Yarrowia lipolytica: one gene and its partner. The protein of the gene in region 1 binds, or shares a complex with, the protein of each later gene. Links are inferred from orthologs where the notes say so. Each region holds a gene or a part of one and is shown in the gene's direction. Other genes may lie near its edges.

Region 1 (6,015 bases):
TACGCTTGTCGGAAGAGGTTCTCCCCAGATGATCCGAGATCTTGGGCTGCACATTACCGTTTCAAAGATTTTTCTCTTCATGCCCGATTCACCAAAAGTGGCCTTCAGCGGACGATCCCTTCGCCTGTGTCGTGATCAAAACGGTGATTTTCCTGATAACTGTGGCCGAGAAAACCGCAGAGAAGAAAAACGCCATCTTCCATAAGAAGGTCGATAATAGCATTCTTCGAATACTCCATTGCGCGAAAGTTTTTCTTGTAAGCGGCGTTACCATTGTTCAGTTGAACCAGGCCTGGTCACAGCTCGCAACTGAATCCGGTTTAGCTGACTCCTGTCGCCAATCAGAATATATATCATAGATTGTAGCTCGAGTAGTCTCAAAGTCGCAGGTTGGTCAGCATTTGATCTCGTCTTTTCATGGTGGGTTCGAGTTTGAAGTTGGCCAACATGCGCCTGTTGAGATCACTCTAGAACTCAGGTCCTTCTCTCGCAAAGGTGGACTCCTCCTCGACTTTAACCATAGCATTGACCCACTCCATGAACCTGGAGTTGTCGGCGTCTCCAGGCAGATAGACAATGTCTGTATGACAGACCAGCTTCCTATAAATGTCGTAGGCAGTCGTGGATTCCTTCAGGTGTCGGATGTCCTCCAAAATAGTCGACCAGTCGAGATGCGTAGGCATAGTAGAAGAGTCGGCAAAGTCCATCAGTCCCCATCGGTATTTGCTCGTAAGTCGTCGACTTCATGAGGCACGAAAAAATGAGGTTCTTGATAACGGGATCCTGCATGATATAGTTCACGATAACATGGGGAGGGTTGGTGTAGTCTAGATCCGCATCCTTATCACCGTTGTTGTCGAAGATGTGGTCCTTGAGGTCGCCAATGGCGTCAAAGTTGTCCCAGTACTTGGCCACGTTCAGATTCTTAATGTATCCTGCCCATAGTAGTTGATAACTCCCTGGATCTTGTCTTCGCTGGCACCGGGAAACTTCTCCACGAGAACAAGGACCGGAATATGGGTGTATGCAAGTTCAAGGGCATGATTCATGGCCTCGTACTCCTGCGCGGTAGAGTATGACTTGCCCGAGATCCAATAATGACGTAATTGAAACCGGCTGAGACCGAGGAGGGTACTCAGATCTCAAGTAAAGTCGTCGGGCAAGGTGAGAGTTGGTGAAGTTCTAGTAGCCCCATCGGTGCTTCATTTCTTCATTCAGACGACGATTGGGGTTTCATGGGACATGGAGCAGAGCAGTCCAGACTCTCGGATAGTGCGGGGGGTTCTGGACACTGTAGTTCCGGACATTGATAGTGCGGTCAACAACTGGAGTCTCTAGGCGACCATCCGTGACAATATCACTTCACCAGAGAAGCTGTGAATGGTAGCGAGAGTGAATGGTAGCGAGAGTGAATGGTAGCGAGACTGTTTCATTTGTGGAGACTGGCAACCAACTCGCTGGTTTCCTCACAATGCCACTTGTTTGGACTACTCTCAATACTACTCTCTTAAAGATTAAGATGAAGGTGAAGACTAACTGCAAGAAGTACTGCAACAGTATGTACATTATTTTAGTCCGATGCCCCATCTTTTTTTTTTTTATATTTTTATTTAATTATATATATATTAATATTTTATCTTATTTTTATTTTTTTTTTTTTATATTTTATTTTTATTTTTATTTTTATTTTTATTTTTTTTTTTTTTTTTTTTTATTTTTTTATTTTTATTTTTATTTTTTTTATTTTTATTTTTATTTTTATTTTTTTTATTTTATTTTTTTTTTATTTTATTTTTATTTTTATTTTTATTTTTTTTTTTATTTCTAATTCTAGGGGGAAATACAAACACAGGCTACAGAGGCCTAAAAAAAAATATGAACCCCCATATCGGACTCGGATCCAGGTATTCAGAAGAGCGCAAGACAATGCTCGCACCCATCCAGACCAACTATATGGTATCTACCACAGAATCGAACCCACAACCGCGTTCGATCTGTGAAAAATTTTGAAGGAAACTTTAGTTTGGCGCAATGATGATGCTGCAAGGAAATCGTAGATATGGCCTAGATTGATATGTTTGAGAAGTGGATTGCGGTAGTTCGACAAAGCCGAGCCAGAGTTATGTGAAACCTAAGAAACAAACAAAAAAATCTCATATCGGGGATTTGCCACATTTCCACCGGTCCTTTTCCCTTTTTTTTCCCGCTCTTTGAGGGCAATCAGTGTCTTCTTGTAACAAGGTTTGGATCACGTGATTTCTCACTTTTTCACCCATGTAGTTACACATCTCAACCTGAATACCTGACCATTTTCACGACACGACAAGATGGCGAAGAAAGGAAAGAAGCAACAAAGCTACGGCGACTGGAGCGACAGTGAGGAGGAGAGCATGGACACGACTCCCCAGAACCTCGACGGGACCCCTGCTGTGGAGGACAAGGCTGCTGGGGCTGCTGATGTGCCCAAGGGCGATGAGAGCGCCTCTGCGACCCCCGAGCCCACCCCTGCCGCTCCCGAGGAGGCCACTATGGACGATCTTGCCGACGAATTCGAGGGCGGAGGACTGATGGGAGCGCTGCGAAAGTCCAAGAAGAAGAAGGACGCGCGAGACGCCAAGGACGCAAAGGCCGAGCCCGAGGAGGCTCCTGTGATTCTGACCAAGAAGCAGAAGGACAAGCTCAAGAAGGAGCAGGAGAAGGCCAAGAAGAAGGCTGCTGCCGACGCACGAAAGGCCGCTGCCGACGCAAAGGCTGCTGATAAGAAGGCCAAGGGAGAGGACAAGAAGGAGGACAAGAAGGAGGACAAGAAGGTCGAGTCCAAGTCTCCTGAGCCCGAGGCCGCCCCCGCCGCCCCCGCCAAGAAGCTGACTGGCCGAGCTGCTGCTATTGCCAAGATCAAGGCCCAGCAGGATGCCATCAAGGCCCAGGAAGCCGCTATGGCTGCTGCCGAGGAGGAGGAGCGAGCTGCCGAGGAGGCTGCCCAGCGAGCTGTTGAGGAGGCCGAGAAGGAGAAGGAGGCTGCACGGCTCGCCAAGAAGGAGCGAGAACGACAGAAGGTCGAGCGACAGAAGGCTGAGGGTACTTATATGACCAAGAAGCAGAAGCAGGAGCGAGCTGCCGCCGAGGCTCGACGAGAGCAGATGCTGGCTGCCGGAATGATTGTTGGCGGTGGACGAGCACCCGCCAAGCAGACCAACAACAGACTGCCCACCAGAACTCCTGCCCAGAAGCAGCCCAAGGTTGAGGACAAGGTTGTTGAGAAGCCCAAGGAGGTCAAGAAGGAGGCCGAGTCTCCCGAGGAGGACGATGTTGACGCCCTTATGGACGACTGGGAGACTGCCCTGGACTCTGACGGAGAAGTCAAGGACGACTGGGAGGCCATGGCCGACGAGAATGGCGAGATTGAAATCACCAAGAAGGAAGACCCCTCCATCAAGGCCAAGGAGGAGGCTGAGGCTGCTGCCAAGGAAGCTGAGGCCCAGGCTGCCGCTCTGGCCCGTCAGAAGGCTGCTGATGAGGGCACCCAGCTCAACGACGAGACCGAGCTGGAGCGACAGCGAGTTGCTGCCGAGGAGGCTCTTGAAGAGGCCCGACGAAAGTCTGCTGCCATTGCCGAGAAGCGTGCCGCCAAGCACTCGCGAGCCATTGCATCTGCCAATGCCGGAAACCTGCGATCTCCCATTTGTTGTATTCTGGGCCACGTCGATACCGGTAAGACCAAGCTTCTGGACAAGGTGCGACAAACCAACGTGCAGGAGGGCGAGGCTGGAGGTATTACTCAGCAGATTGGTGCCACCTACTTCCCTATCGAGGCCATCAAAAAGAAGACGGAGGTCATGGAGCAGTACGGCGAGATTGACTACCACGTGCCTGGTCTGCTGGTGATCGATACCCCCGGTCACGAGTCTTTCACCAACCTGCGATCCCGAGGTTCGTCGCTGTGTAACATTGCCATCCTGGTGATTGATATCATGCACGGCCTCGAGCCCCAGACCATTGAGTCCATCAAGCTGCTGCGAGACAAGAAGACGCCCTTCGTGGTCGCTCTCAACAAGATTGATCGACTCTTCGACTGGGAGGCCATCCCCAACAACTCGTTCCGAGATTCGCTCTCCAAGCAGAAGAAGTCTGTGCTGCGGGAGTTTGAGGACCGACTCGAGAAGACCAAGACCGCTCTTATGGAGCAGGGTCTCAACTCTGAGGTCTACTACAAGAACAAGAACCTGGCCAAGAATGTGTCTCTGGTCCCCACCTCCGCCATCACCGGCGAGGGTATTCCCGATCTGCTCGCTCTTCTGCTGCAGCTGACTCAGAGCCGAATGTCCAAGCAGCTCATGTACCTGTCTGAGCTCGAGGCCACCGTTCTGGAAGTCAAGGTTGTCGAAGGTTTCGGAACCACCATCGATGTTGTTCTGTCCAACGGTGTCTTGCGCGAGGGTGACCGAGTCGTGCTTTGCGGTCAAAACGGCCCCATTGCCACCAACGTCAGAGCTCTACTCACTCCCCAGCCGCTCAGAGAGCTGCGAATCAAGTCTGCTTACCAGCACCACAAGGAGGTCAAGGCTGCTCTCGGTGTCAAGATTGCCGCCAACGACCTGGACAAGGCCGTGGCTGGTTCTCGTCTGCTGCTTGTGGGTCCTGATGATGATGAGGAGGAACTCATGGACGATGTCATGGACGATCTTACCGGCCTCCTTGACTCCGTTGACAAGTCTGGACGTGGTGTGTGTGTCCAGGCTTCCACTCTTGGTTCCCTGGAGGCTCTTCTCGACTTCCTCAAGGATATGAAGATCCCCGTCATGTCCATTGCTCTAGGTCCCGTCTACAAAAAGGATGTGATGCGAGCCACCACCATGCTGGAGAAGGACAAGTCGCTGGCCATCATGCTGTGTTTCGACGTCAAGATCGACAAGGACGCCGAGCGATATGCTGACGAGCAGGGTGTCAAGCTTTTCTCGGCTGATATTATCTACCATCTGTTTGACGACTTTGTCAAGCACCAGAAGAAGCTGCAGGAGCAGAAGCGACTGGACACCATCGACAAGGCCGTTTTCCCTTGTGTTCTGCACACTGTCCAGATCATCAACAAGCGATCGCCCATGATCATTGGTGTCGACGTTGTTGAGGGCTCTCTGCGAATTGGAACCCCCATCTGTGCCGTTAAGACCAACCCCGAGACCGGTGCACGAGAGGTGCTCGAGCTCGGTAAGGTGACTTCCATGGAGGTGAACCACAAGTCCGAATCTGTTGTTCGAAAGGGCCAGACCAACGCTGGTGTGGCTATGCGAATCGATACTTCTTCCGGACAGCCTACTTGGGGCCGACACATTGACGAGAAGGATGTTCTGTACTCGTCCATCACCCGAAAGTCCATTGATACTCTCAAGGACCCCGTTTTCCGAAACGACGTGCCCCGAGAGGACTGGCTGTTGCTCAGAAACCTCAAGACTACTTTTGGAATCAAATAAGGGATCTCGGAGATTAGGAGATCAGGAGCGGACAACATCAAGCCACTGTTATAAATGGCCTGGTACGTTGTTATTGCTCTGACTATTGTGTAAGATGTACGTAAATGAAAATTGATATTGCTGATTGAAGTGAGTTGATACTGTAGGCCGCTTCAAGAGGTTTGGACGGTTGTACGTAATATACACTGATTCCCGTAAGAGCCGATCTGGTCGCAGTAGACATATGGCTGCGTGATAGTGTAACTTGATGTCTTTAGATAAATTCTCTGGCATTTGGACTCTGTATATCATTTGACACTTTTTCAACTGCATTTTTTTTCCGCATTTTTTTCCGCATTTTTTTCCGCATTTTTTTTTTTTCTTACGATACATATATTCCCAACTAAACCCAACTAAAGCCTACTACTGTATGTTCACTGAAGTAGCAAGGTAGCAAGTACAGACACTGTAGTCAGAACTATGTGAGATACAGCCTGGAGCGATTAACTGCCGTACAATCATCACTTGCCCAACCGCCTTCTATAAATGTACTTTTCCTAGGTCTTTA
Region 2 (3,053 bases), on another chromosome or scaffold:
TCTCCCGATGGATACGGTCTTGGTTACATCATCAAGGATGACTCTATCACCATCTGTGCATCTTCTAAGCATCGACAGACTGCTCGTTTCCTCGAGACTCTGTCCACTGTCATGATGGAGATCCGTCTCCTGTTTCGAGAGGTCGCCAAGGCCAAGGCCCAGCGACCTGCTGGTGCTTCTCGAGCTCGGTCTTGTGAACGAGTTCCTCAGGTACATACCACCAAGCAAGTTCACTTTGGCCGAACTCTTCCCCGGTCCAGGAAGCCCTCCGAGACAGAGATCTACGACGAGGAGATGTCTTATCTTCTTGGAGGTTACGGATACTTTGACATGGCGGACTTTGAGAACGCGGCTGATACCGAGCGGCTGGGACGCAAGGAGATTGGTAGAAAGCTCAGACTGGCTGAGTATTAAGGGGCTCTCTCTATTTGTAGGACATTTTGCATTTATAGGTTAAAATTTTGGCTTGAGTAATAATCGAACTGTACACAGCAGGGCTACTTGTATATTTGTTGGGTTGCAGAAGTACACAATAGAACAGCACAAGGAATTGTCCATACTGTCCTTGTACTACAGCTCCTAATGTACAATACAAAGAAAAAATATGCTTCATGGTGATTGGTTACAGCTCACTACTGGGTGTGTAGCTGATGCAAATAAATAATTACTGTATAGTGTACATACTATGCCATAGTTTCCCGCCCGGGCGTTGGCTCTTCTAGCCGTCTTCGCTTTCCCTGAGCCAAATATCTCACAGCAGCAGACAAGTCCAGTCCAAATTTCGCCAGCTGGCACATTTCGTTTTCCTCCTGGGTTTCGTACTTGTCCAGAGCCGTGAAACCGCCATCCAGGGCATCCCATTGTAATTCAAACTCGTCTTCGTTCCGTCCAATCACCCATGCATTCTCTCGTTCCATTTTTGAACGTTCCCGGTCCTCCTCCATTCGCTTGAGTTTCTGCGCATTTGTCATGGGCAGTTTGAGGTCGGTTTCATCCTGTACTGGTGGTTGTCGCTTTTGTAGAATGTCAATAGCTCGGTCGATCTGCTCCAAGCCCTGAGGACCCTTACCAGCTGCGGTTCCCAGTTTGCGTTTCTTCATCTTGTTGAGAAACAGCAACGCGCTCTGCTTGTTGATTCGGCCAATCTCGTCGTCTGAGCACACGAGCTCTGTGGTGATCTTGACCAGATCATTGACCAGACTGGCGTTGTAGAACGTCATGTCCTTGGAGTCTCCGACTGGCGTGCCTTCAGCAATCTTGCGTTTCCGTTTACTCTCGTACTCTTCAATCTTCATACACAAAAAGCCCAGCGCCCACATGATGTTGTTACGCATGTTGACGTTGTCTTTGGCTGTGCTCTCGAGAATCTCCATGATACAGGCGTAGAGGTCTTCCTTGAGGTCGTCGTGTTTCATCATGAAACTAGCGAGGGTAGATTCGGACGAATGTGAGGCGTTGAGCCGTCCCACGAGCTCCACCATCGTCATTCGAGCTTCAAAAGGATCCATAGTGCTGTGTGGGGGTGATGATTAATGATGTTGGCACACAATATAATTTATGTAATTTACTGTAGTTGACTTGCATCAACTAATGCTGGGTGTGAAAGCCTAAACTCCCAACTGTGTGCCTTGGATGCTCCATCTCGTGTGACATCTGAACATCAAACCAAAACAGCAGCTTAGTGGGGCTTGTCTTGTTGACATGGTATTAATTTGGAAGCAACACGGGGACCTCCATAAAAACAATTTCCATTTTTTTAATACAGAGTTCACACATAGCTGCTTCCAAAGTCGTATCTTCGGTGCTCTTCTCTGCCGGCCGGGTAACTCACATGACTTCCCGATTGGGACATGCCTCTCCCTTAGTTTTTCAACCCTATCAAAATTTGTTCCTAGATAGTATACTACAAAATGCCTAAGAACAAGGGAAAGGTGAGTAGCTGACGGTGGTTTGCGGCACGAGAATCGAGGCTAGGCGGTATTTTGCACATGTGGAAATGCCAACGGAATAATCTGAAATGCCCACCTTACTAACTCTAGGGCGGAAAGAACCGACGAAGAGGAAAGAACGAGTCTGAGGGTAGCAAGCGAGAGCTTGTCTACAAGGAGGAAGGCCAGGAGTACGCCCAGGTTGTCAAGATGCTCGGAAACGGTCGTCTTGAGGCCCAGTGCTTCGACGGTGTCAAGCGATTGGCTCACATTCGAGGAAAGCTCCGAAAGAAGGTGTGGATCAACCAGGCCGATATCATTCTGCTTTCTCTGCGAGACTTCGAGGACGACAAGGCTGATGTCATCATGAAGTACCACCCCGATGAGGCTCGAGCTCTCAAGGCTCAGGGTGAGCTTCCTGAGTCTGCCAAGATCAACGATGCTGACCAGGGTGGAGAGGACGACGAGTGCAACTTCGAGTTCGACAACGACGATGATGATGATGATGAGGAGGATGAGCTTGATATCGATGATATCTAAGCTACCTAGAAGACCGTCCAAAAGTCCAAAAGAAACTGCCCACGACAGGTGGCTGTACACTAGTACATGTTGTTTTGTCGTTTAGGCGAGGTATAGATTAACAGATCATTTTATTGTGAATATGAGTGGGAAGGTAGCCTACTGAGGCGCGTAAAAGTACGGCAGGCTATATTAGGTACACCGCTTTTACTCTTACAAGTGATGTATATCTGTCAACAAAATGAAGCCATCTTGCGAATAACCGTCAACTGTTGGTGGGTAGTCGCGTGAGAACAAGTGATATCGTCACGTGAGTCGTAACTAAACGCCACCCAAATTTGATGTTATGGACAACGAGATATAGCAGTTCACTCGATAATGTCACTCTACCTTGATATCAAAGGGTGAGATTCGACATGTAATGATGTACAAGTATGACACATTATATAAGCTACTGTAACCCACCTCCAAATATTGTCCAACATCGGATGTACTGTACTGTATGTACCATGTGCGTGTCACTCTCAGGTGCTGCATGGAACCTTCAATATTAACCGACTGCACACTGCACACAACAAACATCTCTCAAAGTGGTGAGCTTAATAG

Evidence for each region.
Region 2: the proteins of YALI1_A01061g (region 1) and YALI1_F28025g are in contact, whole or in part, in a crystal structure (PDB 3WBK), measured with the Saccharomyces cerevisiae proteins. The link is inferred for Yarrowia lipolytica from reciprocal best matches to the Saccharomyces cerevisiae genes FUN12 and TIF11. Residues at the interface, in NP_009365.1 of Saccharomyces cerevisiae: Arg969, Asp973, Lys976, Phe980, Trp989, Leu990, Lys993, Lys996, Glu1002; in NP_013987.1 of Saccharomyces cerevisiae: Asp145, Leu148, Ile150, Ile153.

Annotation. Positions count from the first base shown.
Region 1 is NC_090770.1:102,465-108,479, reverse strand, and holds YALI1_A01061g (uncharacterized protein), read left to right. Parts: upstream 1-2,327; coding exon 2,328-5,468; downstream 5,469-6,015. Other genes in the region: YALI1_A01074g (uncharacterized protein), read right to left, coding at 468-726, 755-935, 983-1,049. UniProt on the Saccharomyces cerevisiae protein: Plays a role in translation initiation. Translational GTPase that catalyzes the joining of the 40S and 60S subunits to form the 80S initiation complex with the initiator methionine-tRNA in the P-site base paired to the start codon.
Region 2 is NC_090775.1:2,801,584-2,804,636, reverse strand, and holds YALI1_F28025g (uncharacterized protein), read left to right. Parts: upstream 1-1,910; coding exon 1,911-1,931; intron 1,932-2,039; coding exon 2,040-2,468; downstream 2,469-3,053. Other genes in the region: YALI1_F28064g (uncharacterized protein), read left to right, coding at 1-414; YALI1_F28031g (uncharacterized protein), read right to left, coding at 684-1,508.